Linked DNA regions of Rattus norvegicus. The protein of the gene in region 1 purifies or fractionates together with the protein of each later gene. This does not show direct contact. Links are inferred from orthologs where the notes say so. Each region holds a gene or a part of one and is shown on either strand. Other genes may lie near its edges. The genes, in order: Rpap2, Pfdn2 and Polr2d.

What was found.
Region 2: the proteins of Rpap2 (region 1) and Pfdn2 purify together in Homo sapiens (co-immunoprecipitation; 3 studies listed by BioGRID and IntAct, with this or other methods). This does not show direct contact. The link is inferred for Rattus norvegicus from reciprocal best matches to the Homo sapiens genes RPAP2 and PFDN2.
Region 3: the proteins of Rpap2 (region 1) and Polr2d purify together in Homo sapiens (affinity purification with mass spectrometry; 5 studies listed by BioGRID and IntAct, counting the BioPlex papers as one, with this or other methods). This does not show direct contact. The link is inferred for Rattus norvegicus from reciprocal best matches to the Homo sapiens genes RPAP2 and POLR2D.

Annotation. Positions count from the first base shown.
Region 1 is NC_086032.1:2,296,915-2,306,739, reverse strand, and holds part of Rpap2 (RNA polymerase II subunit B1 CTD phosphatase Rpap2), read left to right. Parts: intron 1-3,279; coding exon 3,280-4,198; intron 4,199-8,320; coding exon 8,321-8,415; intron 8,416-9,807; coding exon 9,808-9,825.
Region 2 is NC_086031.1:86,301,897-86,312,358, forward strand, and holds the start of Pfdn2 (prefoldin subunit 2), read left to right. Parts: upstream 1-3,931; 5' UTR 3,932-3,941; coding exon 3,942-4,016; intron 4,017-10,462. Other genes in the region: Nit1 (deaminated glutathione amidase), read right to left, coding at 732-995, 1,670-1,795, 1,930-2,063, 2,273-2,376, 2,481-2,738, 3,135-3,230, 3,798-3,799. UniProt on the Homo sapiens protein: Binds specifically to cytosolic chaperonin (c-CPN) and transfers target proteins to it. Binds to nascent polypeptide chain and promotes folding in an environment in which there are many competing pathways for nonnative proteins.
Region 3 is NC_086036.1:23,688,546-23,699,058, forward strand, and holds the start of Polr2d (DNA-directed RNA polymerase II subunit RPB4), read left to right. Parts: upstream 1-4,032; 5' UTR 4,033-4,087; coding exon 4,088-4,160; intron 4,161-5,499; coding exon 5,500-5,680; intron 5,681-8,830; coding exon 8,831-8,926; intron 8,927-10,454; coding exon 10,455-10,513. UniProt on the Homo sapiens protein: Core component of RNA polymerase II (Pol II), a DNA-dependent RNA polymerase which synthesizes mRNA precursors and many functional non-coding RNAs using the four ribonucleoside triphosphates as substrates.

The DNA.
Region 1 (9,825 bases):
AACTTCCGTTAGTTTCACTGTGTCTCTGTCTAGTTTCTGTTTCCGTGATCTGTCTATTGATGAAGGTAGGGCGTTGAAGTCTCCCACTATTATTGTGTGAGATGCAATGTGTGCTTTGAGCTTTAGTAAAGTTTTTTTATGAATGTGGAATGTGCCCTTGCATTTGGAGCATAGATGTTTAGAACTGACAGTTCATCCTGGTAGATTTTTCCTTTGATGAGTATGAAGTGTCCTTCCTTATTTTTTTTTTTTTTTGATAACTTTTGGTTGAAAGTTGATTTTATTCGATATTAGAATGGCTACTCCAGCTTCTTTCTTGGGACTATTTGCATGGAAAATATTTTTTCAGACCTTTACTCTGAGGTAGTGTCTGTCTTTGTCACTGAGGTGCATTTCCTGTATGCAGCAGAATGCTGGGTCCTCTTAACATATCCAGTCTGTTAGTCTGTGTCTTTTTATTGGGGAGTTGAATCCATTGATGTTAAGAGATATTAAGGAATAGTGATCGTCACTTCCTATTGTTTTTGTTGTTAGAGGTGGAATTGTGTTTGTGTGTCTCTCTTCTTTTGGGTTTCTTGCAAGAAGATTGCTTTCTTGCTTTTTCTAGGGTGTAGTTTCCCTCTTTGTGTTGGAGTTTTCCTTTTATTATCCTTTGTAGGGCTGGATTTGTGTAAATTTGGTTTTGTCATGGAATATCTTGGTCTCTAAATCTATGTTAATTGAGTTTTGCTGGATATAGTAGCCTGGGCTGGCATTTGTGTTCTCTGGTCTAGGGTCTGTATGACATCTACCTTGGATCTTTTGACTTTCATAGTCTCTGGTGAGAAGTCTGGTGTAATTCTGATAGGTCTGCCTTTATATGTTCACTTGACCTTTTTCTCTTACTGCTTTTAATATTCTTTCTTTGTTTTGTGCATTTGGAGGGAATTTCTTTTCTGGCCCAATCTATTTGGAGTTCTGTAGGCTTCTTGTATGTTTATGGGCATCTCTTTCTTTAAGTTAGGGAAATTTTCTTCTATAACTTTGTTGATGATATTTACTGGCCCTTTAAGTTGGGAATCTTTGCTCTCTTCTATACCTATTATCCTTAGGTTTGATCTCATTGTGTCCTGGATTTCCTGGATGTTTTGAGTTAGGAGATTTTTGCATTTTGCATTTTCTTTGACAGTTGTGTCAATGTTTTCTGTGGTATCTTCTGCACCTGAGATTCTCTCTTCTATCTCTTGTATTCTGTTGGTGATTCTTCTTGCATCCATGACTCCTGATCTCTTTCCTAGGTTTTCTATCTCCAGGGATGACTCTCTTGGTGATTTCTTTTATTGTTTCTATTTCCACTTTTAGATCCTGGATAGTTTTGTTCAATTCCTTCACCTGTTTGGTTGTGTTTTCCTGTAATTCTTTAAGGAATTTTTGTGTTTCCTCTTTAAGGGTTTCCCCCTGTTTACCTCTGTTCTCCTGTATTTCTTTAAGGGAGTTATGTATGTCCTTCTTAAAGTCCTCTATCATCATCATGAGATGTGATTTTAAACCCGAATCTTGCTTTTCAGGTGTGTTAAAGTATCTAGTACTTGCTGTGCTGGGAGAACTGGGTTTTGATGATGCCATGTAGTCTTGGTTTCTGTTGCTTATGTTCTTGCACTTACCTCTCGCCATTATCTCTGATGTTAGTTGGTCTTGCTGTCTCTGACTAGAGCTTGTCCCTCCTGTGGGCCTGTGAGCCTGTGATCTTAGGTGTGTCAGCACTCCTGGGAGACCAGTTCTCTCCAGGATGGATTCGGGTGTGGAGAGCTGTGCCACAGGGTTAGCTCTGGAGCACAGTTGGAGACTGGAAGGCAACTTTTTTTATGTATTTCATTTTTTTTATATGTGTAAGTGTTGCCTGCGTGTATGTTGATGTGAGATATATATATATATATATATATATATATATATATATATATATATATATATATATATATATGCTTGCCTGGTGGGCACTGGGCGGTCAGCTGTTGGATCCCTGGATCTGGAGTTAAGGGTAGTTGTGAACCACCTGAGTGCTGGGCATTGAACCCATGTCCTCCCTAGTGGAATTTCTTTTTTTTTTTTTCTTTTCTTTTTTTCGGAGCTGGGGACCGAACCCAGGGCCTTGTGCTTGCTAGGCAAGCGCTCTACCACTGAGCTAAATCCCCAACCCCCCTAGTGGAATTTCTTAAACTTTCTTTTTTTTTTTTTTTTTTTTTTTTTTTTTTTTGGTTCTTTTTTTCGGAGCTGGGGACCGAACCCAGGGCCTTGCGCTTCCTAGGCAAGCGCTCTACCACTGAGCTAAATCCCCAACCCCTAAACTTTCTTTTCTTCTTATCCAAAAGTCACTTGCCTAATGATGTCGGTTAGATTCTAGTAAAAAACTGTATGTGACCCTGAACTTTGGAAATCTCAAATCAGTTTCTGTATTCCCACTAGACTGACCCTGAACTTTGGAATCTCGATCAGTTTCTGGATTCCCCCTAGACTGACCCTGAACTTTGGAATCTCGATCGATCAGTTTCTCTATTCCCACGAGACTGACTCTGAACTTTGGAATCTCGATCGATCAGTTTATGGATTCCCCCTAGACTGACTCTGAACTTTGGAATCTCGATCGATCAGTTTCTGATCAGTTTCCCACTAGACTTGCTTTCAGTCTCGCTGTCTAGTGTGACCTCTGTTCCTTCCCACCGCGTGCTCCTAGACCAGGCAGCAGAGCTCTCACAAGTGTGCTTGCTTGTCCCAGCACGAACCAGAGCAGCTCCTGCTTTGCCTTTGCTCCGGATTCTTAATCTGATTTAAACTGAATCTCAAAGACAAAGGGTGCAATCAGGGACAGCTGTTACCATTTTGTTTGTATTTGTGAGCTCTCAGATTTAAATAGCATCCATTGAACCATGCTGATGTGCCAACTTCATTTCTGTTGTGGCTTTTGTATTTTTTCATTACATGAAATTTTTTGTATAATGGCCAGGCAGAATTAAGAAAATATTAATCTTTTCTTCAGGCAACAAAATTGTCGGATAGGATACAGTCTTTACTGCACTGCTTTAAGAACTGTAAAATGTTAGGATCAAACAGAAGGAAGCAGAAGAAGCCTTCTGACACACGTGTATTAGACATGGGGAAAGGAAAGCCTTCTGAAATCTAAGTGTCAGAGTATAAGACGTAAGGCTGTTTAAGGCCAGCAGTTCTCACCTTCGGCATCCGGAGTGTACCTGTGTGAAGATTCCTCTTCCATTGACATGGTTTTGACGGTTTCTCCCTGTACAGTGGCTGTTCTGGAGAGGTCGTACAGTTCTTCAGAGACGCCGTTACAGCAGCAGATGTCGATGCTTATGGTGCCTTTGATGCACAGTGTGAACCTGCTTCCTCCAGCACTTGGAGCGAGCGTGCCAGCGACGAGCGTGCCAGCGATGAGGAGGGGCCAGGCTTTGTTTCTTCTCTTCTCCCAGGAAACAGACCGAAGGCCGTGGGCACAAAACCACAGCCACACAGACAAAGCAGCACCGTGAAGAAGAAGGCTGCTCAGAAAATGACCTCCAAGCACGGAGAACAGACCGTGTCAGAGGTCACGGAGCAGTTGTCTAATTGTAGATTAGATAGTCAGGAGAAAGTAGCTACTTGTAAACTTCCTGCAAAGAAAGAAAACACTCAGATTTCTTCACCTGGCCCTTTGTGTGACAGATTAAATACTTCAACAGTTTCTGAAAATAAACACAGTGTATCACAAGTTACTCTTGTGGGGATAAGCAAGAAGAGTGCTGAGCATTTCAGGAGCAAATTTGCCAAATCTAACCCAGGGTCTGGGTCAGCCTCTGGTTTGGTGCAGGTGCGTCCTGAGGTCGCAAAGGCAAATTTACTCCGAGTTCTAAAGGACACCCTGACTGAATGGAAGACAGACGAAACACTGAAGTTTTTATATGGCCAAGACCATGGTTCTGTGTGCCTGCAACCCTCTGCAGCCTCTGGGCCTGATGAAGAACTTGATGAAGATGACATAAGCTGTCAAGCTCAGAACACCTTGGATGAGACACTCCCCTTCAGAGGCTCAGATACAGCCATTAAGCCACTGCCAAGTTATGAGAGCCTGAAAAAGGAAACAGAGATGTTGAACCTGAGGGTCAGGGAGTTCTACAGAGGACGCTGTGTTTTAAATGAAGACAGTACCAAGTCTCAGGACTCAAAAGAGGTAGGTCTTCATGATAAGTGTTTTAGGCTGCTCATATTTCGAGAACTCACAGAGCAGATCGGTTGCTTAGATGTTTGTCTAGGTGACGTGTAGTTAGCATGTCCATTTGAAATGTTACAGACATGGTTGGGGGGTGGCTTACTAGATTAGGCATGTGCTACCTAGGCTTGAGGAGCTGGGTTCAGATTCCTAGCAATCATAAAAGCTAGGCACAGCTTACCTATGTGTATATCTGTTAGACACTGCTAGGCAGCATGGCCAGAGAAGGTGGATTCCAGTAGCCCCTGATCAGCCAGTCTAAGGGGACATCTTCAAGTTCAGTAAGAGACTATATCTAAAAGCTAAGGTGGAGAACAGTGATAGAAGAAGACACACAGCATTGATGTCCAGCCTCCACATGCCCCTGAATGCACATGTGCACATGTATAAACACCTCACAAGCTCACATGCCCATGAATGCACGTGTGCACATGTATAAACACCTCACAAGCTTACATGCCCATGAATACACGCATGCACATGTATAAACACCTCACAAGCTCACATGCCCATGAATACACACATACACACACATGTATAAACATCTCACAAGCTCACATGCCCATGAATGCAGCATGCACATGTATAAACACCTCACAAGCTCACATGCTCATGAATGCATACATGCACATATATAAACACCTCACAAGCTCACATGCCCATGAATGCAGCATGCACATGTATAAACACCTCACAAGCTCACATGCCCATGAATACACGCGTGCACATGTATAAACACCTCACAAGCTCACATGCCCATGAATGCACACATGCACATATATAAACACCTCACAAGCTCACATGCCCATGAATGCAGCATGCACATGTATAAACACCTCACAAGCTTACATGCCCATGAATACACGCATACACATGTATAAACACCTCACAAGCTCACATGCCCATGAATGCACACATGCACATGTATAAACACCTCACAAGCTCACATGCTCATGAATGCACACATGCACATGTATAAACACCTCACAAGCTCACATGCCCATGAATGCACATATGCACATGTATAAACACCTCTCAAGCTCACATGCCCATGAATACACGCATACACATGTATAAACACCTCACAAACTTGCAAGATAAAATGTTACAGATGAAAATACAGGAAAGGAACTTCCTGGGAAGAAATGGATATGGATATTTGATTATCCACTCTGTCATCTGCTAGCTTCTTAAAGTTAGCTCTTTGACACCACGTATCTGTAGATGGACTTGCATCCTTCATTTGTTCGGAGCGTGTGGCATTGCTGATAGCATGGTTCACAGGCGTTACACATACAGGCAGGGTGCATGCTGAGAGGGAGGGAGGGAGGAGGGCTGTGTGCCTTGCCATTCATGGTTTTGGTTCATGTGCACTACCTGGGAATCATATGGCATGCAGAAAAGAGTGGGCAACAGCCTATTTCTACCGTATAATTGTTATTAAGGTGTAAGACATGATGTTGCACCTAGAGATTTGGAGAGGGAAAGTGGAGCTAGAAAAAAGTTTCTTGCACCTTTACAGAACTCTCGCCTGGCTTGGGACCATACTTGAAATCTCAGTACTAATATCAGATGGCATCCAAACCTATATTAAGCTAGAAGGGACACTAGTCTCTTCAGTGAGCTGCATAAACCACCATCACTCACTGTTTTTCCATACTACAAAGCCTTAAAAAAGAAAATTAAGTGTCTGAAGCCCGTGACTTTGTTATAGAACATTTTACAGCTTTTTCATTGGCATTTAATATCAGTGTCCAGACTGTCGAATATTTACACTGAGCACCTGTGACGTCACTCCCCAGACCAGGAGGTGCTTCCTTATAAGGAGACCTGAGCATCAGTGTCTGTCCCTGGCCATTGCCTGTTTGCAGTTTACTCATACACAGTAGTGGAGACTACCTTGCCAGCTCTTGAACAGCCTGTATTCTTTGTTGCCCAGTTTGTTATAATACCACGTGGTTCAGCCTGTATTCTTTGTTGCCCAGTTTGTTATAATACCACGTGGTTCAACCTGTATTCTTTGTTGCCTAGTTTGTCATAATAAATACCACGTGGTTCAGTTTGGTTTGTTCTAGACATCCATGCTCGTGGGTATTCCTGTAGTTCATGGTGCATACACACTACATACATGCATTAGCCCTGAGTCCCCAGCCTGTGTCCCATGAGCTTTTGCGTGACTTTCCCGGTAGAAAAGAAATCCAAGGAAAGCTCCCATCTAGGTTCACTCCGTAAGACTGAGCTGGGATTACTCACAGGCTCCGTAGACAACTGTGTCACTGAAAAGTCCCCCAGCACTGAGTGGTGACTTCAAGGCTGCTCCCCATAGCAGCCAGCCTTCCGTCTCTTACAAACTCCAACACTACAGCCACACGCAGCAAGAGGGAGGTGGTGGCAGCTCCTGGTATAGGCCTTCCATGAGGAAATGCTCACCACTCCCTCACCATTGTCAGAGACCCAGCTGCCACCACTGCCAGCCACAGGTATTGTGCTCCATGTCGGACACTGGTCCCAGGGTCAGCAGGGAGAATGTGAGCTTTGCGCACCACTGCCCAATGAGTGCTTTGACTGCTGTTGTCCTTTCTGCGTCTGCTAGCTCTCTCACATGGCTCCAACTGTCTGCTAAAAGCTTCAACTCCATTTTCTTCAAAGATGTTAAATGTCTTTATATGCATTATATAATATAGCACTTAACAGTAATATCATTTCACTATTGTCTTATTTTATTAGACATCAAACATTGTCTATTAACATGCTGTAAGCTGAACTTGGCAGTGTGTGCCTGTAACCCCAGTGTTTGGAAGGCCAAGGCAGGATCACGACTTTGCAGCCAGTCTGTGCGCATTGGAGACCCTAACCTGAGATTCAGGATAGTATTATCATCCTCTAGGGATGGAGCTGTTCACCTCTCAAGATTCCCAGCAACCCACGTCACCATGACCTGATCAGGACTCGAGGGGACTTAATGGTGGCAGCAGTCCTCAAGAGTCAGCCTTGCTACAGAGTGTATTCCTTCCAAGTCTGTCCTCCAACTGGGAAGCTTTACCCATAACCCGCCTTCATGGGCATCCCCTGACCTATGATTCCATTAGAAAACTCTCTGCTGAGGTCCTTAGTGTCTGAGTTGTCTCTTCCAGGACTAGCCCAGCACTCTCCTGAGTTACCCTCTCCTGGTCTAGCCCAGCACTCTCCTGAGTTACCCTCTGCAGGGGCTCAGCCTAGCACACTCTCCTGAGTTACCCTCTCCTGGTCTAGCCCAGCACTCTCCTGAGTTACCCTCTGCAGGGGCTCAGCCTAGCACACTCTCCTGAGTTACCCTCTCCTGGTCTAGCCCAGCACACTCCTGAGTTACCCTCTCCTGGTCTAGCCCAGCACTCTCCTGAGTTACCCTCTGCAGGGACTCAGCCTAGCACACTCTCCTGAGTTACCCTCTCCTGGTCTAGCCCAGCACACTCCTGAGTTACCCTCTCCTGGTCTAGCCCAGCACTCTCCTGAGTTACCCTCTCCTGGTCTAGCCCAGCACTTTCCTGAGTTACCCTCTGCAGGGGCTCAGCCTAGCACACTCTCCTGAGTTACCCTCTCCTGGTCTAGCCCAGCACTCTCCTGAGTTACCCTCTGCAGGGGCTCAGCCTAGCACACACTCCTGAGTTACCCTCTCCTGGTCTAGCCCAGCACTCTCCTGAGTTACCCTCTCCTGGTCTAGTCCAGTTCCTTACTGCCTTGCTAGCTTTGTGCTGCTTGCCAACAAGTGAAGTGGGTTTGGTTTGGCTGTTTGTTTTCAGCTCTCATTCCTAGTTCATTGGAATGACCTTACCTTTTCCTAGAAATGCTTTCCCCCAGGTACAAGTACTGATGTTAATCCTTAAGTGTAATTTATAGCGAGTTTGGTAGTTTACAGAGGAGACCACTGCCTTCCAAAGGGGGCAAAGGGGCCAGCAGGGCATCACCTGATGGTGACATATGCCGATGCTCAGGTTTAAACATTTCAGTTCTCAAGTCTCTTCCTACACTAGAGGAGCAAATGTTTCTACTCAGTGTTATGGCTCCGGTCATTAAAAACAAGTTTATTTCTCTGTCTGCTTTCAGAATGAGCTTCAGCGTGATCCCAGCTTCCCCCTGATTGATTCGAGTTCCCAGAACCAGATTAGAAGACGGATTGTTCTTGAAAAATTGAGCAAAGTGTAAGTATGGACATGTCATTTTAGCTTTTTAAGAGATTTAAATTAACTCAGTATTTTCATGAATTTGCAATTTATGAATATTATCCTTGAATTCTGAACATTTTTTAATGATTTGAAAAGCTTGCATGAATTTCCTCACTTGAAAATTTTCCATTTTAAGATTTATTTTTTTCAGATATCTTTAGATAAATTGTTTTTGTAGATGACATAGGAATGTCATAAAAGGGAAAAGTGAGACGGTAGAATAGAAAAGCAAACTACCCCACGCCTTCCTAAGCCAGCCAAGAAATAGAGAACAAGCCAAGGGCGCTCTGCCCCTGCGAACAGCCACAGCTGGATACTGCCACACCACTGGACACTGCCACAGCTGGACACCGCCACACCACTGGACACTGCCACACCACTGGACACTGCCACACCACTGGACACTGCCACACCGCTGGACACTGCCACACCACTGGACACTGCCACACCACTGGACATTGCACTGCCACACCGCTGGACACTGCCACACCACTGGACGCAGCCACACCACTGGACACTGCCACACCACTGGACACTGCCACACCGCTGGACACTGCCACACCGCTGGACACTGCCACATCGCTGGACACTGCCACACCGCTGGACACTGCCACATCACTGGACACTGCCACACCACTGGACACCGCCACACCACTGGACACTGCCACACCACTGGACACTGCCACAGCTGGACACTGCCACACCACTGAACACTGACACACCACTGGACATTGCACTGCCACACCGCTGGACACTGCCACACCACTGAACACTGACACAGCTGGTTGGCTTGTTCAGCACAGCCGCATGGTCCTAGGTCGTTTCACACTCAAGAACATGAGTTTCCCTCAGTTCAACTTGAGCTTTGGCTTGAGGTGTCTTGTAATGGGAAGGATTGTTCTTAAAATCAGCCCAGTCACAAGGAACAGCTAAAAACTGCTGTTTCTGTTTAAAACAAAACAAAAAAGTTTGCGATTTTTTTTCTAGAACTATGAGATCTACCTTGAACTTTCCAACCTGTAGTTTTTTAGCAAGAAAACATAAAGTGTGTTAATCACTGTTTGAGAAGTTGGAAAATAGTGATGATAAGGTTAGTCAAAGGACAGTGCTTTCATAGTGAGGCTATGGAATTAGAGGTGCTGACAGACAGACTGACAGAGGACAGCAGCCCGTGCGGGTTTGCAGTACAGGCCTTACTCTGCAGCACAGACCAAAGCAGCAGGGCCTTCCTGTGAACGGGCACTTTGACTTCCTTCTCACTCATCACAAGGTAGCTTAGCCTTTGAGACTTCCTCAGGGCCACTGTTGGATGTAGAAACCCCAGAGGTAGGCACCATATATAATTTTCTTTTGTTCTTTTCTCCCCAGATTGCCCGGCCTTTTGGG
Region 2 (10,462 bases), on another chromosome or scaffold:
TGTCAGATCTTCAGCAGACTTATGGAGGGCTGTGCCAGCCTACTTCCCCTCCCAACCGTGATGTGTAGGTGAACACCACTACATGGGACGGGCGGAGTAGAGGCTGCTAGTTAGAGTACACTTTCTCTGAAAAGGAAGGGGCGGGGGCGTGACATTTCCCTCCCCTTTTCCAGTGAAAATAACAAACTCTTACCCCACCCAGGGCCCTGTCCCTTTGCTTCCTTCTGGCTTGAGAGAAAGTGGGGTATTTAGCATCAACTCCTCCTCCTGTTCCTTTATCCTCCCTTCTCCCACACTTGGGAGAACAGAGCTGGTCCATGCACTGAGCATTGCACTTTGTTAGGTAGGGAGGCACGTTTGAGCCAGGAGACTAAGAAGCCTAGTCGAGCAGGTACAATTCCACCTCCCTTCCCAGCCCCAAAAGAGATGTCCAGACATTATGATTGATTATTATATTTTTTTTCAATGCCAGTGCTGCTCAGCCCTCAGCACAACTTCAGTTTTCATGAAATAAACAGTGACTATATAAAATTTCATTTTTCTGAAACTGAAATCTGAGATCAGGTCAAAGTCTCTTCTTTCCCATGGACTTGATTGAGCCTGTGTTCCATTAGGAGAGTTAAGTCCTGCAAGTGAAGGGAACCGTGCTTGGGTCCAGCCTACAAGTCACGGTAGCATCACCTCACAGTTGGCGTGTGTTTGTCTGTCTCAACCAACAGAAATTAAAAACATTAGGAGAGTGGCAGGAGACTGCCATAAAGGTCAGGTCTGCGATGCTGGAACACAGGCAAGTGTTGGCGCATCTGTTGCAGAAAGTGGAGATCAATTCGAGCAAGGCAAAGGCCTGGTCCCTCGGAACAGCTGGCCACCACTGTGCCCCAGGGGTCAACCACCATGCTGTGGCCGTAACTTGCTCTTGTCTCATGGTGGCGTCCACACTGTGCTGCTGCTATCACGTAGCACTGAGACTCAATGGCGCGGGCCCGCAGCAGCACCTGAGGATGAGACGTGCGTACTCAGGAACATACAGCATTTAATAGGCGAGTGACAAGAAGCGGACACTGTGGGCCCAATCTACTCATTGACTATTGATCAACTAGAATTAGTAACTAACTATAACATGACTCACACCTATCTAAGAAACGAATTTCCTCACCAGATCGGAAGGGAAGAAAATCCTTCAAGTAGAAGGGGAGGGGTGTGTTTGTGTTTTGTATTTTTTTATATAAGGTCTCCTTGTATAACCTTGGTTGGCCTGGACCCACAGAGATCTGCCGGCCTCTGCCTTACAGTGCGGAGATAAAAAGCACACACCACCATGCACCACTATTTTGGGTGGTGTGGGTTACTTTTGTTTTGTTTTGTTTTGTTTTGTTTTGAGACGGTTTCTCTGTGTAGCCCTGGCTGTCCTGGAACCTACTCTGTAGACCAGGCTGGTCTTGAACTCAGATCCACTTGCTTCTGCCTCCTGAGGGCTGGGATTAAAGGTGTGCACCCCCACTGCCCAGCTTCTATTTTGTTTTCTGTTTTACTCGAGGCATCACTATGCTGGCTTTGAACCTGTGGCTATCCCCTGAAGTGCTTAGAGTTTAGGTTTGTGCTACTCTGTCCCCACTACTAAAAATAAGATTAAAGGAGGCCTATATGTTATGAAGAGGCATTCTCCTACCTCCCAGTGGGCTGGGCCGGTAACAGATCCAAAGGCTGAAGGATAAGTAAGTATTTCTGCCCCAGCTTGAGCCAATTTCAGAGAAAGTTCAGGGAACCGCATGTCATAACAGATTGCTAGACCAACCTGAAACGAGAAACAACCCACTCATCTTCCCTGTCCTGGTCAACGTAACATTGAATACTACCTCCATCATCCTACACCAAAGGGAGATGTTACAACTTTTTCAACATATTCCTATTTTCTTTTCAAACTCCTACCTTGCCTGCTGGTGTCTTGACAGGTGGTTCAAGAGCGTATCCAGGCATGGTATAGTTGCTTTCTCTCATAGGCCCCTGACCTGGGATCTCTACATCACATAGATGTGTCTTCCTGTAACTGGCCACTACTGATCCTAAAGTAAGAGAAAATGCTCAGTACAGACACTGGAAGTCCAGCTTAGCTCTTCTCCCAAAGAGTAATTTTTAGGCTAAGAACAGAAGCATTCAAAACAAAACAAAAAAACCCCTAAAGCCAAGCAGTTGAGAAAAATGCTGAAGATCTGAGTTGGAAGAAGGTAGATGAGCCTAGGAAGAGGCAAGCTGAAGGACTGTGAAGTCTCACCCTTGCTGTTCAGAAGCACATGACAATTGTAGATTTTCTGAGTCTGCTCCCAGTCTTGGCCACGCTCGTGGAAACCACCCAAGGACAGCCAGATTCCACATTCCCTGAGGGGGAGGGACACTGACAACTCTACCCCCTCTATGTGGCAATCCAGGAACACTGCCCAACAGGGATTCTACCCCTCCCCACCCCCACCCTACCCTTGTACCTGGCAAGCTGGCTATATTGTCCCAAAAGGTCCCCATCCAGTGGTTCGGACAGGAGTAATGTCTCGGCAGGATTTCGTGCAATAAAGTCAAATGCCTCAGGCAGAAAGGCCAGGCAAGCGCCCAGTCTGGTAGCCTCTTGAACCAGCTCAGCACACGTTTTAAAGTTCTCTTGCTTGTTTGGTGTTGATGTTACCTGGCACACAGCCACCAGGGGCAGCTCCCAGGAAGTCGATGAGGACTCTGCCATGGCTCTGGGCCTGTGAATGACACAGGCAGTTTTCTCAGGATTTCTACCGCGTGCCGCGGAGAAACTTGGGAGGCTCAAGTGGGGGTGGAGCCGGAAACTTACTTTTTTTTTTTCTGATTTTACCTCCCCTTTGAGACCGGGTCTTTTTGTAGCCCAGGCAGACCTTTCTATGTAGCGGGGATGATCTTAAACTCCTAGTTGATCCTCCTGCCTGTTTCCCGAGTGCTGGGATTAGAGGTGTGTCCCACCAACCCTAGCGACTTGTTTTCATTCTTCCAGAGCATTAAATAACCCTAAGCTACTGGAGTACACGCATTAAATGTTTGGTGGATGGCAGGTCCACTATTCGGTTAATAAACATGGACTTAGCAACTACGTGCTAGACAAAGAACATAAAATATGTTACCTGGGCTGAGTACAAAGTACTGAGATTTGAGGTAATCGGTATCCGGTACACAGAAGGGACAGGAGTTGATGAGGAGGCCTGGTGATGAAGCCCAGCCTGAAGAAGGTGAAAAATCAGGACACCTAACCCTCCTTCAAGCTGTAAGTTTCTAGAATTCTCTGCCATTTCCAGACCTGGCCAGTAATCCCCTCCCCCAAGGCTTCGAAAACACTTTACTACTAGTAGTTATGAGATCATAAAATGGGAAAATGGAAGAGGACACTATGATCGGTGCCTTAATACCTCAACTTCCAGTGATCTCACATTAAAACTGAAGCCCTTTTCCTCTGCCAAACGTTTCCGCAGTTCAAGTCATCTCATGGAACCTTCCTCGTTTCCCCAATTCTCTCTTCTCGGCTGTGCCACCTGGACAGCTTTATAGACTCAACATGTATCTTTCCCCTTGTACCAGAATCTCAGAAGGAAAGTTCACCCTCCTTAGATCTCCACCATTCTCGTGGTGGGTAGGTAGATGGGTACAAGATCAGATCCCAACCCGAGCCCCCGCCCTCTGATTAGCGCGTCCTTCCCCGGCTCTCCCCGGGGCAAGAATCTCTGTTGCACAAGTTAAAGCATAGCAGGTGGAATTCACCGCAGCAGGCAGGGTTGGGGAGTAGGTCCTACATGAAGACACAGCCAAAACCATTCGCAGGGTCGGATCTGAAGAGCTGCCAGAAGCCAGAAGCGCAGGAGCAAGTGGGCGGTAACCACTAGAGCGGATGTGACGCAGTGGGAGTGCGCAGGCCGGAAAGCTTGCAGGTGGGGAAGATGGCGGACAGCAGCGGTCGTGTGGGCAAGAGCGGCGGGAGTGGCACGGGGAAGGGGGCGGTGTCGGCGGAACAGGTGAGGAACCGCGAGCGTAGAAGGCACCTGGGTCGGTGTCGAGTTCGTGCAAGGAAAAGGACTTGTGATTCAGAGGGGCCTTTAGTCCTTCCCACGTTCTCCGTGGTCACGCACAGGGGAGAGGGCGTTTTTGGGGGTGATCACAATCCTTTCTAGGGCGTGAGTAGGTGGGGTAGGTAGGTGAGAGGCACGCCCGGGGTGTGGGTGGGTAGTCGAGAGAGAAAGCTCTTAGATGCAGGATCTGGGAGGGTTGTCCAGGTCCCTAAGGACATGGATCGTCGTCTCCCCCTCTACGAGGTACCCTAAAGAGAATATGGTGTTTGAAGTGTCATCTAGTAACGAATCCCAGGCTGTTCTTAGTCAGTGAGTGGGTTATTTAGTCTTTGACTCCAAAACCGTGTTCACCATCACAAACACGCTGCAGAGCCACGTGACTCAGACTCTGACCAGTTTAGTGTTCAGTAACTATTTGGACTAAGGAGACTGTGGCTTAGTTATTTTCTTGTTTTGTTTTGTTTTTGTTTTGTCTTGGGGTGGGGATGAGGGTTGCTATAGGGTCGGGCTGGGTCGCTCTATGTAGCCTTGCTTTTCTGGAATTCACTATGTAGACCAAGCTGGCCTGGAACTCACAGAGATTCGCTTGTTTCTGCCTCCCAAATACTGGGATTATCTGGGACTACTATTCCTGGCTCGGGTTGTTTTCGTTTTTTGAGACATGGTCCAGCTCACTCTCTATGCTCCCTTCTGCAGAGACTTAAGTTTTCAGAAGAGGCTAGAAACCATTTTCTAATGCAGGTGTGATTCTGCTCTTCATAACATCGGGATACATCTGACGAATTAATCAGAAAGCCCTTTGTGGTATAGGGACCATGTTTTGTTAGTCTTGGGACTAGTGTTTAATTGATATTAGAAGAACACACAATTGGGGTTGGGGATTTAGTTTAGCTCAGTGGTAGAGCGCTTGCCTAGGAAGCGCAAGGCCCTGGGTTCGGTCCCCAGCTCCGAAAAAAAGAACCAAAAAAAAAAAAAAAAAAGAAGAAGAAGAACACACAATCGAAATGAAAATAGTTGAAGCTAGGGGTGTAGTTTGGTGGGTTAAATGGGAAAGCCTTGAGGTGTGGGGTCTGGGTGGGTGTCTGTTCTCACCTGGTATGGAGGTCCAGGGTTGGGATTGAAGAGCTATTTTAATCATATATTTGTCAGTTGCTTGTTGAGCAATCACTGCAGGTAAAAGTATCAGCATAGGGACTGGAGTGGTGGCTCAGCCGTTAAGAGCACTGACTGCTCTTCCATGGGTCCTGGGTTCAAATCCCAGAAACCACATGGTGACTCCCAACCATCTGTAATGAGATCTGATGCCTTCTGGTGTGTCTGAGGATAGCTACAGTGTACTTATATATAATAAATAAATACATCTTTAAAAAAAAGTATCAGCAGAAATAGTTTAAAACCCATACTGTTGGAGAGCATCGTCTGTTGAAGTGGGGTTTACAGTTCTACTATGAGTCGGAAAGTAAGTATTCAAAGAGAAGTGACATTCTGGGGATGGAAGAGGCACCTTGACAGTGGGAAAGAAAAAAAGTAAAGCTTTTGAGAGTCTGTCTTGTGTTATACTTTGCTTAACACAGAGAAACAGGTAAGTGAAATAGACTTTATCTTAAATTTGGACACAGCCAAGTGTGATGGCTCATACCCATAATCCCAATGGGTTACCCTCTCAGTTCCAGGCTAGCCTAGGTTACAGAGTGAAACACAATCTCAAAAACAAACAAGACAGACAGAATGGCAAATAAAAATGAAACAACGAGACTTCAAAAATATGTTATGTATATTTGCATGTCTGAGTGTGTGCATGTACCACACCTGTGCAGGAGCCATTGGAGGCCAGAAGAGGGGTCCAAGCCCCTGATAACTGCTTATTAGCTACCATGTGGGTCTTGAGAACCAAACCCAGGCCTTCTGCTATAGAAGTAACAGTTCTTCCACCGAGCCATTGCTCCAGTCCTTACACCAAAAACTTCTGCACATGATTTCTCTTCTTACTTTTTACCCTCCTCTATCTGTGAAAACATGTACTTCCCATTTCATAACTATTTAGTGTACTAGGCAAGAAAATTCATTCGACACCCTCCCCCCCCATCACCATGACTAAAAAACAGAGACTACAGAGTGTGTTGACTAAATGCTAGTTAGGGGTGGAGAGATGGCTTCTGCACTTGAGCACCTCATCTCACACAAACACATACATACATGCACATGATCTGAACAATCTTTCTAAATGCTAATTTGTTTTTATTTTCTAGAGGATTCTTCAGCTTAATTCTAAAGGCTGAGGAAAGTTAGTCAATGTGAGGATTTTTTTTTTTCGTTAGAAGAAATGTGTTCATAAGCCTTGAGCCATGAACTGCCCGGCCTTGGAAATGCTGGAAGATTTAAAAGAGCTGTATTGCAAGACTTGAAGAAGACACAGTCAGCCTTGTTGTTCTTTGACACAAGTTTTTTTCATGTGGCCTAGAACTCACCAGCCAGGCTAGGATGGCTGGCCAGAGAGTCCATTGACCCTCTCTTCCCCAGCACTTGGATAACAAGCCTCAGAATTTAAGTTCCCTAGCATTCCATTGCCAGGCAGTTCATGCCTCAATACCATACCTCCCCCACCCCCCAAGTTCTCAAACTCTGGTTCTTTGGTTCTTTACCTGTGGAACTTTTCTTCCCAATTTAAGTGTTTGTCACTGATACAAATTCAAGCCTGATGTGACTTTCACAAGGAAGATAGGAGCAGGTCATACTTTCTACTAGGCCCTTGTTTTATTTTCGGTTTATCCTATTTCTATTTATTGTTTATTGGTTTGCTGCTGTTTTATCTGAGAGAGGATCTCCCTCTGTAGCCCTGGCTAGCCTGGAACTTGCTATGTAGACCATGCTAGTCTAGGGCTTGTGGCATTCTTCCTGCTTTGATCTCCCAGGTGTACCACAGCACTTGGAGGAGTGAGTGCGCGCGCGTGTGCGCGTGCATGTGCGCGTGTGCGCGTGCATGTGTGCGTGTGCATGTGTGCGCATGTGCCAGCCAGCCACCCACATGCGTGCCTGGTGACCTTGGACTGTGGGGGTCAGAGCATTGGATCCTCTGGAGTTAGAGACAGTGATAGTTATGGGTTTCCATGTAGGTGCAGAGCCACAAGTGCTGCTGAGCCATCTCTTTAGCTCCCCCAAATCGAGACACATAAACATTATGTACACACATATAATAATGAACTAAACAACTGAAAAGCCCTGCTGCAAAGTAGATTGTGATGTACACGCCTGTAAGAGATCCCCTGTATTTGGGGGAGAGGTAGAGAGGCAGGATTAGGAGTTCAAGTTCGGGGTTGGGGATTTAGCTCAGTGGTAGAGCGCTTGCCTAGCAACCGCAAGGCCCTGGGTTCAGTCCCCAGCTCCGGGAAAAAAAAAAAAAAAAAAAAAAAAAAAGAAAAAAGGAGTTCAAGTTCATCCTCAACTAAATAGCATATTTGAGGCCAGTGTGAATCTCAAAAAGACAAGAAAATTCCTGTCACTTGTCAAAGTTCAACAGGTGTTTCGAAGAGGACAGAGCCTACTCAAACACTGCTTTATACCCCTTACCCTCCAAACTCATGACCTTATAATGTAAAATACAATCATTCTGTCCCAGTAGTCCCCAGAGTCTTACATTGTTCCAGTACTAACTCAAAATTCCAGGGTCAGTTGTGAGCCTGTGCAATGAGAGTAGCATATGCACGTTCATCATGTAATGCAGAGGCAGGCAGAGGGTAGACATTCCCGTTCTAAAGGAGAGAAGTAAAGCCAGGAGGAGGCTTTACTGTTAAAGCCTTAAGTCTGAATTCCGAGAGGGCAGGCATGGTCTTACCGTTCTATGATAAATTATCCCTATATATGGCATTTGGAAACTCTGGGGCAGGAATTGGGCCTCTAAAATACTAGACAGCTCCACAGGGCACAGTCCATGCTTCATGCACTTGGGCTGGGGGCATACCAGTGCCTGCAGCTTGCCCGGTTAGGCACTGTCCACTGACAGTTGCTGTACTATTAGAGATCATGGTGGCTGCCTGGCCTAGGGCTTGTTCCAGTGAGGATTCCCCGACAGCTCCCATTCCTACATCAGGGTTTTCCTTGCACCCCTGTTTAACCTCCCACAGTCCAGTGCATCTTGTGAAGTTTTGGTAGAGGAAGCCATTTCTCCACAGCTCTTGCATTCTGCATGCCTCCAGAATTAGCACCACGAGGCATAGATACTACCACAGGTTACTGCTAGTAATGCTTTCTCCAGCTGCAGTACAAGCTGTACTTGAATAAATAATGGAGCATGCTGGGATGTGAGGAGCAGAGGCTAGGTATACTGGGCTGTGAGTTCTTTCTGCCCTTAAGACCCTAGCTTTTGGTTCCATGATTGGAAAGACAGCCAGGGTCTCCAAAATGCCTTCGGAACGTTTTTTGTCATTGTATGGTAAATAGTAACACTCAGCTTTCTCTGTCAGTGCTAATTTGTGCACTTGCTTGGTAAACCTCTTTGGGGGGGGGCAGGTTGGGAAGGGAGGGAAACAGGTTTGCATTTATTTATTTTGTGTTTGTGGAAATGCCACAATGCTCATGTGGTGGCCAAAGGACAATTTGCAGCAGCTGTTCTCTTCTTCCACCTTGTCCATCCTGGGATCAAACTCAGGTAGCCAAGATTGGCTGCAAAGTCCCCTTACCAGTTGAGCCATCTTACTGGCCACTGTCTTGACCTATTTCCACTTTGTACATAGACAGCCTGTGAATTGTATTAGATTTCAGGCTCTATTTCCTTCCTTCCTTCCTTCCTTCCTTCCTTCCTTCCTTCCTTCCTTTCTTTCTTTCTTTTTTTTTTAAAGATTTATTTTTATTTATTTTATAGATGTGAATACACTGTCTCTGTCTTCAGACACACCAGAAGAGGGCATCAGATCCTGTTACGGATGGTTGTGAGCCACCATGTGGTTGCTGGGATTTGAACTCAGGACCTCTGGAAGAGCAGTCAGCGCTCTTAACCGCTGAGCCATCTCTCCAGCCCCACTTCTTTTCTTTTTTTTTTTTTTTTTTTTTTTTTTAAAGACCTATTTATTTATTTTATGTATGTGAGTACACTGTAGCTGTCTTCATACACACCAGAAGAGGACATCAGATCCCATTACAGATGGCTGTGAGCCACCATGTGGTTGCTGGGAATTGAACTCAGGACCTGTGGAAGAGCAGACAGTGCTCTTAACCGCTGAGCCATCTCTCCAGCCCCTCTTTTCTTTTTTTAAAGTTTATTTTTATTATTTTTATTTCATGAATATTGGTGTTTTGCCTGCATGTATGTCTGTATGTTAGAAACTCCAGAACTGGAGTTACAGAGAGATGTGAGTAAAAAAGGGGGTCATTCTTATCCCTACCTCACTCACAGATGAGAGGGACTCAAACTGTGACTTTTTATTTTGGCTTTGGCAGGTACTGGGGATTAGCCCTCATCTACTTTTCTAATGGTTGGATTGCTTCTTCCCCAGCTGTGGACCTCAGATACTTGCTTTTGAACTCTTCCTGGGTCATTTCTGCTCCAGTAGTTGGTGTTCTGGTGTTCTGGGGAGGCATTTTGTCCTGGCACATGCTGCTGGTCCATCATGACTAATGGAGACCTTCTGTTCTCTCTGTCCTCCTTCCCCTTCTTTCTCATTTCTCCTTCTCCGTTGTGGTCCCTACCTGTGACCCCAGCCCTGGGACTCAAGCTCCACTTCTCTCTGTTCTTCCCGGTAATTGGTTGTAGCCGCATTTATTTAACCAATGCTTTTAAATTGGGGGGTAATGTTTGCATAGCAGAAGCTGATGTAATGGGGATTGCTTGTCCTGGGGCAATGAGATCTTGGGGTACAGAGTTTAGCATTTGAATACATAGCAGCACTCGAGTAACCCCCAACAGGTGAGTTGCCATGTGGGTGCTGAAACTGAACCTGAGTTCTGGAAGAGCAGCCAGCGTTCTTACCTGCTGAGCCATCTCTTATTTTCTTTTGATTATGAATTCTGTCTTTAAGCTGGGTGGTATGTTTCTTGAAAACGACAGATTTGGATCTTGTTTTATAATCTGGTCATCTGGTCTTTCTTTTTTTTTAAGTTCTTGATACAAGGTCTTACTATGTATCTCTACCTGTCTTTGAGCTGACTAGATAGACCAGAGTGGCCTTGAATTCACAAAGATCTACCTGTCTCTGCTTCCCAGATGCTGTGATTAAAGGCATGGGCCTTTGGTGTTTTAATTAGAGTGTTAAGACTACTTACATTTAGGGTTATTGATAGGGGTTTGTTAATTACTGTGATTTTGTTGAATGTGTTTCTGGTTGATTGAATTATTGTTGGTTTGTTTTCTTCATTCTTCCTATTTGAGGTTTTGGACTGTGTTGGCCATGGTGTGTGTC
Region 3 (10,513 bases), on another chromosome or scaffold:
GCAGGACACTATTATGTTCCTGAGAAAGTCTTTCTGGTCATGTCTTGCTTATTTACTTCAGTACCTGGGAGGACAAGTTTTCCAAATCTTTGTTAAAGTAAGTCCATCATTTTTGTTTGTTTGTTTTTGTGACAGGCTTTCTCTGTGTAGGCTTTTTGGCTGTCCTAGAACTCCCTTCATAGACCAGCATGACCTTGAACTCAGAGAGATCCATCTGCCTCTGCCTCCGGAGTGCTGGGATTAAAGGCATGCACCACCCCTGCTTGGCCAGTAAATCCATCCTTAACAAGATGGAGAGTTGGCTCAGTGGTTGAGAACACTTGTTCTTTCAAAGGACCCAGGCTCAATTCTCAGTACCCACCCAGAAGCTCACCACCTCCTTGGGCACCAGGCACACAAGCGGTGCACAGACATACACACAGCCAAAACACTTATGCATTCAAAATAATAAACAAATCTAAAAAATTACCAAAAAAAAAATCAAGATGATCAAGACATTTAGCTGTGTTATGTGGGAGCAAAAAGTGCATTTCTCCCTCAGATTTTTACAATGCCAGAATCCCTGACAAGAGCAAAGATGAAGTTCAGTGGATAAAAGCCATTCAAGTTGACAGTCAGGATTACATATCAAGCTTAACCTGCAGAACCACAGGGTTCTGAAAGTTGAAGGGCATGGTGCTTTGGTGAGGACCTCCCTTCACATGGCATCATGGATATAAAAGGGAAAGAGAACATGATAAAGGTGAGATGCACGGTCTGGTGTGCAAAGAGTACAAAATACATTAATTCCTCCTAAGGCCATGCCCCCAATATCTAAGGGCATCCCACTAGACCTCAGTTCTTTTTAAAAATTCATTAAAGCAATTTTTATAGTTTGCATGTATGCACACATATATGCCTCTGGTGCATGTATGGAGGTCAGAGGACAACTTTTGGGAGTCGGTTTTCTCCTACCAATTAAATTCAGTTCCTCTGGCTTAGTAGAAAGTGCCTTTAGACACCAAGACATCTCTCTCTCTCTTTCTGTGTATGGATGTTCATGTGTCTGCAGGTACACGTGTGTCCATGTACATGGCAGAAAATGATATTGGATCCCTATTCAGGAATGCCATCCAATTTCTTTGAGGCAGGTCTCTCACCATCCTTGATTTACACGGCCCGAGAGCTCTTGGGATTGTATATATCTTCTTCCTCTCAGGGCTGGGATAATGAGCACTTTATGTGGGTTCTTATGATCTGTAACAAGGGTGCTGGTGGCCCTGATACTGACAAAGAACTGAGGGGTTGGGGATTTAGCTCAGTGGTAGAGCGCTTGCCTAGGAAGCGCAAGGCCCTGGGTTCGATCCCCAGCTCCGAAAAAAAGAACCAAAAAAAAAAAAAAAAAAAAAAAAAAAGAACTGAACACCAGGGACAGACAGAAGACCAAGCCCTGGAGAGGGGGGAAGTAAAAGGAATAAAAGCCTAACACTTGGAACTCCTGAGTAGACTGTGGTTTGAATATTTTCTGGGGCCCCTGGGATCGCCTCTTCCTGTTTAGATGCCCGTCCTCATGCTCCTCTGCCATTTCTCCCAATGAGAAATGTTCTTCTGTGAACATGGAATCTAAGGGAGGCTGCTTTTCCTTTCCTTGTCCACTCATATCCCTCGAACTTTCTCCCAGATGAAATCTGGGTCCGCATGCTGGCAAAAGCAAGCACTGTCATAACTGAACCTCCTCTCCAGTTCTAGTCCCTACCTCCTACGCAGTTCTGACTTCCAGGACACGAAGCTTTAGGAGACACATTTAAACTACAGCCAAACATCGGACTCTTGATCTTTCCTTAGCACCTTCTTTGACTGTGTTACATCACCCGTCAGATATTGCACTCGCTACTCTTAGTGAGCTCATGTTCGGGACAGATTTTTACCCTACTCATCATTTTAACCTCATGGACTTACAGATGGCTTATAATGGCTTCCTAAATGAAAATGGTACACATGGGCCAACCTGGGAAATGTCACTTTATGTTTTTGTTACTCTTGTTTTCTCTCTCTATGCCTGGTGACTTCTCTCCTCCTCCCTCCTTTCATGCCTCTGTGTGTGTGTGTGTGTGTGTGTGTGTGTGTGTGTGTGTGTGTGTATGTGCGTATGTGTATATATGTGTGTGTATGTATGTGTATGTGTATATGTGTGTATTATGTGTATGTGTGTATATATGTGTGTATGTATGTGTATGTGTATATGTGTGTATTATGTGTGTATGTATGTGTATGTGTATTATGTGTGTGTGTGTGTGTGTGTGTGTGTGTGTACTGAATCTCAAGTCCATTTCTACTACCTAGGTGCAGTATGACTATGAACTACTGCCCTGAATATCTTTGCAGGAGTTCTGATAAGCTGGAGCATGTCTGTTATAAAGGTCTTATGCTTTAAGGTTTATTTATGAGTATGGGTATTTTGTCTACATGTATGTCTGCACACTAGAACACCATGGACAATAGTTATAGACTGTGCGAGACACCATGTAGATGCTAGGAACTGAATCCATGACCTCTGTAAGAGCAGCCATGCTCTTAACTGCTGGGAGGTCTCTCCAGTCCCTGTTGTGATTTCTCACATGCTGTTCAGGAAAGCACCGAGAAATGGTTAAAAAGCTGTCAATACTATATAACCATTTATTTTAACCAATGCATTCCTTCTACAAATATAGATACACAGCAGTTTTGTAAAACTCATTTTATTTACAAACCAAAAGACTACCTATTCTTGGACCAGTGAGATCATGCAGCAGATAAAGGCCCTGAGTTCAATCCCCAGAATCTATGCAAAACTGGAAACAGAGAACAAATTCCACAAAATTATCCTCTAATCTCTTCTGTGCACCTCTGTATATATAATAAAAATACATTTTCTTGTCTTGTAATAAATACTTCTATCAATTTTTAAAAAGATTTATTTTCTGTGTATGTGAAGGGTGTGTATGGTGTGTTTCACCTCCAAAAGAGAGACCAGAAAGGGTTTAGATCCCTTGTAGCTGAAGTCACAGGTGTTTGTGAGCCATCTGGTGTGGGTGCTGGGAAATGAACCCAGGCCCTCTGAAAGCATCAAGTGTTAACCACAGAGCCACCTCTCCAGCCCATTTTTTATTAAGTTACAGGGTTTACTAGTGTTCACTAATGACCCAAAAACTGGAGAAGTGTTTGTCCCCCTTATTGTATAGACTTTTGTTTCTCTTTAAATTGAAAATATCACTTTTTCATTTAGCTTTCTACTTATTCAAATGTCTCAACAGATATGATAAAGGGTTCTCAATATTAAACTTCACCTGCTCAGAATTGTTAAATACACAGGAACAATTTAACAGGATGGTATGTTACCTAAACTGGCATGGATTCTTGGGAATTTGCTAAGTAGCCACGCCTCTTTGTGAATTTTTTTTTTTTTTTTGAGACAAGATCTCACTATGTAGCCCTGGTTTTATATCACTTTGTAAACCAGGCTAGTCTCAAATTCAAAAGATCCACCTGCCTTTGCCTGCCTCGGGCATGCTAGGATTAAAGGCATGCGCCACTACAAACTGATCTCCTTCAACTCTTGATCCTCGCGCTCAGTGATTGATTCATTACCACCACACAGGGGTTAGTCTTTTTTTTTTTTTCTTAAGACACAATTCAATCATTGAAAGAGATTTCAGTATGTTTCTGTAGTCACCTACCCAGCTTTTCAACATAGGACATTCCTTGGATCAGCCACTTAGTTCAGTCCTGCACCTCACTTTCTTCTGAAATGGCTTACTTGACGCTCCCAGGTGCCACGGCAATAGTGTGTTGCCGAAAATAAACACTTTAATCTCCAAGCAGGCAGCACAGAACCACACCTCCAACGACCGGAAGCCGCTAGACTGCGCCCGGACCGCCCCTGTCGCGGGCAGTCTCGCGGGTTTCCCCTAGTGTGATAGCAGGGTGCCTGACCTACCGTCGTCCGCCCGCTTTCTCGGCCCCGCCCATTCACTTGGCCCCACCCCGGAGCCGGATTGGTTCTTTTCCTTAGAAGAGCCCGTCCGTGCGGCTTCCGTCTCCGGCAGTGTCTGTGGCAGTGCGCAGGGCGATGGCGGCAGGTGGAAGCGATCCTCGAGCTGGCGACGTAGAAGAAGATGCTTCCCAGCTCATCTTTCCCAAAGGTAGTATCCGGGACAGTTCGACTCTGAGGTGACATTGTCCTTGAGTTATAGTCGTTATCCGTTCCCTGCCCACAGGGAGCATTCGGGGCCGGCACGGGGGATTGATTGGTCAGCCCGGTACAAATGAACCCTTTCGTAGTTAATTCCCCTACACCCAGCAGTTTTGTTTTTGTGAGAGCGTCTAATTAGGTATCCTAGGCTAGCCTCCACCTTATCACATTCGTGCCCTTTCCTCTTGAGTGCTAGAATTAAAGGCATGCGCCATCGCTCTTGATTTTTAGGGGGAGTTAAGCTATGCCTTTTCCTGTCATGCAGAAGATCTGGAGCAGAGGTCTCATTTCAAAATTGGCAGCCAGTAAAAGCTGAGCTATGGTTCCTCTCACAGTGCTAGTCAAAGCGTTTCAAGATCTGTGGGTCAGAAGTGCTCTCTGCCCTGGCCTCTGAGGAGAGATGCTGTTGCCGTTGGTTTCTGAACCTTCGTTGTAGCTTTTCGAGTTAGGAAGAACGTTTGAGAGCAAGATGGGTTCCGGTTTGGGATGTCTGGTACTTCCTTTTGTCGGATGTGTGCCAGCCTCTGTGCATAGTGCTGTTCCTGCTACTAAACTAGTCTAAACTAGTCACCTTGCCCCAGGAAATCAATCCCCTGTCTCTTCCTACCAACTGTTAGATATAGGAACCCTCTGTACCTGTTTTGTGGGTTCTGAGGATCCTAACTCTGCTTCTTACACTGGAGTGGCAAGTACATTATCCACTTAATCATCTGCCCAGCCCCAGCAAGTGAGGTTATCTTCTGTCTTTTGTGTGTGTTTTTAATTGAGATGGAGAATCTTTGTTTTTAAATTTTTATATATAAGGATTATTTTGCCTGCGTGTAGGTCTGCATGCATGTGAGGTGTCCATAGAAGCCAGATGTACTAATTGGACTTAAAAGATGATTTCGAGCCATCTTGTTGGTGCTGTGTGTGGCAGAACCCTTATCCTCTAGAAGATTAGCCAATGCTCTTAAGTGCGGAGCTGTCGTCTCTCCAGCCCTTATGTCACTGTTGTAAAATTTATTTTTATTTTAATTATGTCTGTGCAGGTATCTGAGGAGGGGAGAGGTGCTATGAGGTGTCTGATGGGGTGCTGAGAATTGAACTTCCTTCGAAAGAGCAGTGCATGCTCATTTCTCTAGCCTTCTGGTTTCGTTTGTTTGGTGTTTTTGAGTCTCTCTGGCTATCTTACAGCTCATCAATAATAGACCAGGCTGGCCTCAAACACAGAGATCATCCTGCCTCTGCCTCCCAAATGCTGAGACTTTGAAAAGAGTATTTTCAGTTCACATTTATTCTTCTTCCAGAGTTCGAAACAGCTGAGACGCTCCTGAACTCTGAAGTTCACATGCTTCTGGAGCACCGAAAGCAGCAGAATGAGAGTGCGGAGGACGAACAGGAGCTTTCAGAGGTTTTCATGAAAACCCTGAACTATACAGCCCGTTTCAGCCGGTTCAAAAACAGAGAGACCATTGCCAGTGTTCGTAGGTGAGTACTGAACATAAGCCCAAAACTAAAATCTACTTATGTATGTGTTATGGGAGTTTGGCTGCTTGTATGTCTGTGCACCATGTGTGTAAACACCCACAGAGGCCAGAATAGGGCGTTAGCTCCCCAGGGCTGGAATTACGGACAGTCGTGAGTCACTGTGTAGGTGCTGGGACTCGAAACCCAAGTCCTCTGAAAGAGCAGCTGGTGCCCTCAGCTGCTGAACCGCATCTCCAGCCCTACAAAACGGTTTTATTATTATAGACTCTCGTGAAAGACAGAGGCTGTAGGATCCAGGAGTTCAAGGGCATCCTTAGGGGCATAGTAGGTTCAAAGCCAGCCTTGATTGCATGAGACGCTGTTTTAAAAATGCTAACAAAGCAGGGGCCGCTGAGATGGCTCAGTGGGTAAAACATGCTTCAGCCAAGAGGTGGTGGTGCACCCCTTTAACCCAGCACTCAGGAGGTAGAGGCAAGCATATCTCTGAGTTCGATGCCAGCCTGGTCTATAGAACAAACAAACAAATGCAACCAAAAGTGCTTTCTGGGTAAGTCTTAGGACCTGAGCTTATATAGAACCCCAGATGCACCCAGAAGCTCTGAGAATGAATGAGAAGTTGCCTTCTAAGTATGTATGCTTACGCACTTACACATACACACAAATGGCTAAATAAACAGACCACACACAAATACTTAGGGGAAAAACAAACAAACAAACAAAAAAACCCTAACTGGGTATGCCTTTAATCCCAGAATTTGAGAGACAGAGACAGGAGAATCTCTGTTTGACTCCAGCCTGGTCTACATAGCAAGTTCCAGGACTACATAGATAGAACCTGTTAAAAAAAAGTAATCAAGGGCTTGAAGCCCCCACCCCCACCCCCAAATTTTGCCTACCAGAAAAAAGGCTCTCAGACTTGACTCAGTCAAAATTTTCTCCACTGCATCACAAATTCTGGGGTTACTAGTATATGCCATCATGCACTCGCTGCCCTCCAGGTACGATTTCTTGTATTCATTTTTATTTTATTATTTTTTTTATTGGATATTTTATGTATTTACATTTCAAGTGTTATCCCCTTTCCAGTTTCCCCTCTGGAACTCCTCTATCCCATCTCTCCAACCCCTGCTTCTACGAGGGTGCTCCCCCACCCACCCACTCCCAGCTCACTGCCCTGGCATTCCCCTATACTGGGACATCCAGTCTTTGCAGGACCAAGGGCCTCTTCTATTGATGCCAGACAATGCCATCCTCTGCTACATATGTAGCTGGAGACATGGGTCGCTCCATGTGTATTCTTTGGTTGGTGGTTTAGTCTCTGGGAGCTCTGTGGGGATGGAATCTGGTTGGTTGATATTGTTCCTGTAGGGTTGCAAACCCCTTTGGCTCCTTTAGTCCTTTATCTAACTCCTCCATTGGAGACCTTGTGCTCAGTCCAGTGGTTGGCTGTGAGCATCTGCCTCTGTCAGAGCCTCTCAGGAGACAGCTATATCAGGCTCCAGTCAGTATGCACTTGGCATCAGCAATATTATTTTTATTTTATACACACACATACACACACACACACACACACACACACACACACACACACACACACATGAGGGGGCGGGGAGAGGGGATTTCTTTATATAACTTGGATATATATATATGTGTATATATATATGTGTGTATATATATATATATATATATATATATTTTTTTTTTTTTTTTTTTTTTTTTTTTTTTGAGGCAGAGTCTCATTATCTAGCCCCGGCTGGTCTAGAACTCCATATTAGACCAGGTTGTTTTCTATCTCACAGAGATCCACCTGTTTTGAGATTAAAGGTGTCGAACACCACACTGTCTTTTGTTTTTTAGAAAAAATTTATATTATTGTCATCGTTATTATTACTGAGACAGATTTGTATCTCTGTTTAGTGAAGAGCATGCTGTGTAGACCAGGCTGCTGTGAATGTGTGCTATTAGGCACAGAAAATCATTTTTTGTTATTTTGTTTATATGTATATACACGCTTGTATATATGTGCACCATGTGTGTTCAGTGCCAGCACTAGCAGAGGCCAGAGAGGAGTTGTAGACACATGGACCCACCCAGTGCAGTTGTTAACTCAAGTCCTCTGAAAATTAGCAGATGCTGTTACTGCCGAGCCATTTTTCCAGTCCCCCAGAGTATATAAGTTCTTACTACATTCATTTGGAAACCAAACTTATTCTCTCGTAAGCTTTATTTTATAGTGCAGGCTATGGAGATCCTGAAGGTGCAGCTTACACACAGATTTGCACAGAGTTTGGGGTATTTCAAAGTTAAAGGAGAGGAGTTTCCCTCAACATACGCAATAGGCTAGCCAATCAGATCTCCTGAATTGCTTAACATTAACTTATCAAAGGTAGCAGATAGAGCAAAGAGCTAGAGAGTCACTTCCTTTTGAATATTTATTTATTTTTTTTTCTTTTCTTTTCTTTTTTTTTTTTTTGGAGCTGGGGACCGAACCCAGGGCCTTGTGCTTGCTAGGCAAGCGCTCTACCACTGAGCCAAATCCCCAGCCCCTTGAATATTTATTATTGCATTTTATTTTATGTGTGTGTTTGCCTCTGCACCACACAAGTGCCTAGTACTGGCAGAGTCCAAAGAGGGGTATCAGATCCAGTGGATCTGGAATTTCAGACAGTTGTGAGCCACCATGTGGGTACTGTAAATTGAACCCGGGACCTCTGAAAAGAGCAACTCTCAACTACTGGTTTCTTGGCAGTAGTTACAGCACATACATTCCTCTTTACCCAGCTGTGCTCTTCTCAGGGTTCTTGGCTGTCTACGGTGGGTTCTTTGTTTTCTTTTTCTGGAACGTCTTGATTTTCTGGGGTAGGAACAGAAAGTGATTTCAAAGGGGGATTCTGATGCCCATATAGCCACAATCAAAGATTATAAATACCTTTTCTCACCTACATTTGATCTTTTTGCTATTGATGGACTTAGCATTTGACCAGCACTGAATGAGACTGTAGTTTTTTGTTTCGTATTAGCATATAACTGCAGGTAATTACAGGTTCCATTGTGACATTTTTATTCAGGTATATAGTATAGTATAGATCGTGCTCATTTCCTGTCTCTGTCCCTCTCTAACGTCCTGTGTTCTATTTCCCTCACACTCAGCCTGCTTCTCCAGAAGAAGTTACATAAGTTTGAATTGGCTTGTTTAGCCAATCTGTGCCCGGAGACTGCTGAGGAGTCCAAAGCGCTGATTCCAAGGTTCGTACGGGATGGGATGGGGTTTGTCTATTTTATATGGATTTCTCTAAGTCAGATTGCTAGATCCACATGTCGTAAGCGTTTAGCAGTTGGGTTGATGCCATGCTAGCGTTGAGTAAGAGTGTAGTTGAGTGGTGTTTGAGATGGGACTTGGGGGTTGGTTTTGTGCTTTGCTGGTGGCAGTCTCAGGTAGCCAAGGCTTTCCTTGAGCTCTTGATTGCCCTGCTTTCACCTCAAGGGCTGGGATTACAGGCATGAACGAGCATGCTGGCTTAAGAATAGTTTGAGTTTACCCATTAATTGTTTGTGTGCATGTGTACACACGCATGCCTGTGAATGTCACATTAAGCACGTGAGGGTCAGTGGACAGTTTCTCTTCGTTTACTAGGTAGGTTCCCAGATTAAACTCAGGTTGTTAGATTTGGTGGCAGACAACCTTTATTAGCTGAACCATCTTGGAAGCCTGAGAACAATTGTCTTTTTTTTTTCCCTCTATTCTTTTTTTCGGAGCTGGGGACCAAACCCAGGGCCTTGCGCTTGCTAGACAAGCACTCTACCACTGAGCCAAATCCCCAACCCGAGAATAATTGTCTTATACCCCAGGACAGGAAGAATATGGAACAGAAGAGGGTGGTAGGAATATAGCTCAGTGGTAGAACTTTTTGCCTATCGTGTCTGGGACTGAGTTTGAGCTCCCAGTACCTCAGAGAGGAGCATTAGAAATGGGCAGAATTCGCCTTCCTGTAGGGAGTAGCCAAGCATGTGACTATATCTAGAGAAATCAATGGGAAATGGGACTTCTCCCAGACCTAAAAGGTATTCTGGGATTCTGTGTTATTGGTATAGAAGATATTGGACATAATCATTAAGTCACTCAACAAATGAGACACAAAACTGCAGGGCCTGGGAGTGTGTGTTTTTAATCCCAGCAGAGGCAGGCAGATCCCTGTGAGTTCTAGGGTAGCCAAGGCTGCATAATGAGACCTGGTCTCAAAGAAAAGACTAAGCTATACCAACCAAACAAAAGTTTAAATCATATGTGACTGTTGAAGCTTTTAGAATCTTTTTTTTTTTTCCTCTTGGAGTTGGGGACCGAACCCAGGGCCTTGCGCTCGCTAAACGAGCGCTCTACCACTGAGCTAAATCCCCAACCCCTAGAATCTTTTATATATTTACAACCTTTTGGTGCTTCTATAAGGGATGTCAAAAGAAATTCGGTTTAAACTTAAAGGTAGTAGAGCTAAGCAAGGTGCTCAGAGATGAACCTCCTTTGAAAAACAGGGTGGGGGGCTGGAAAGATGGCTCAGTGGTTAAGAGCACTGACTGCTCTTTGGTCATGAGTTCAATTCCCAGCAACCACATGGTGGCTCACAACCTGTAAAGAAATCCGATGCCCTCTTCTGGTGTGTCTGAAGACAGCTACAGTGTACTTATATATAATAAATGAATAAATCTTTATTTAAAAAAAAAAACAGGGTGGGAAAACTGCCAGTTTCTAAGTCACTTAAATTTCTTGGTCTTCTTCTAGCCTGGAAGGGCGTTTTGAAGATGAGGAACTGCAGCAGATTCTTGATGATATCCAGACGA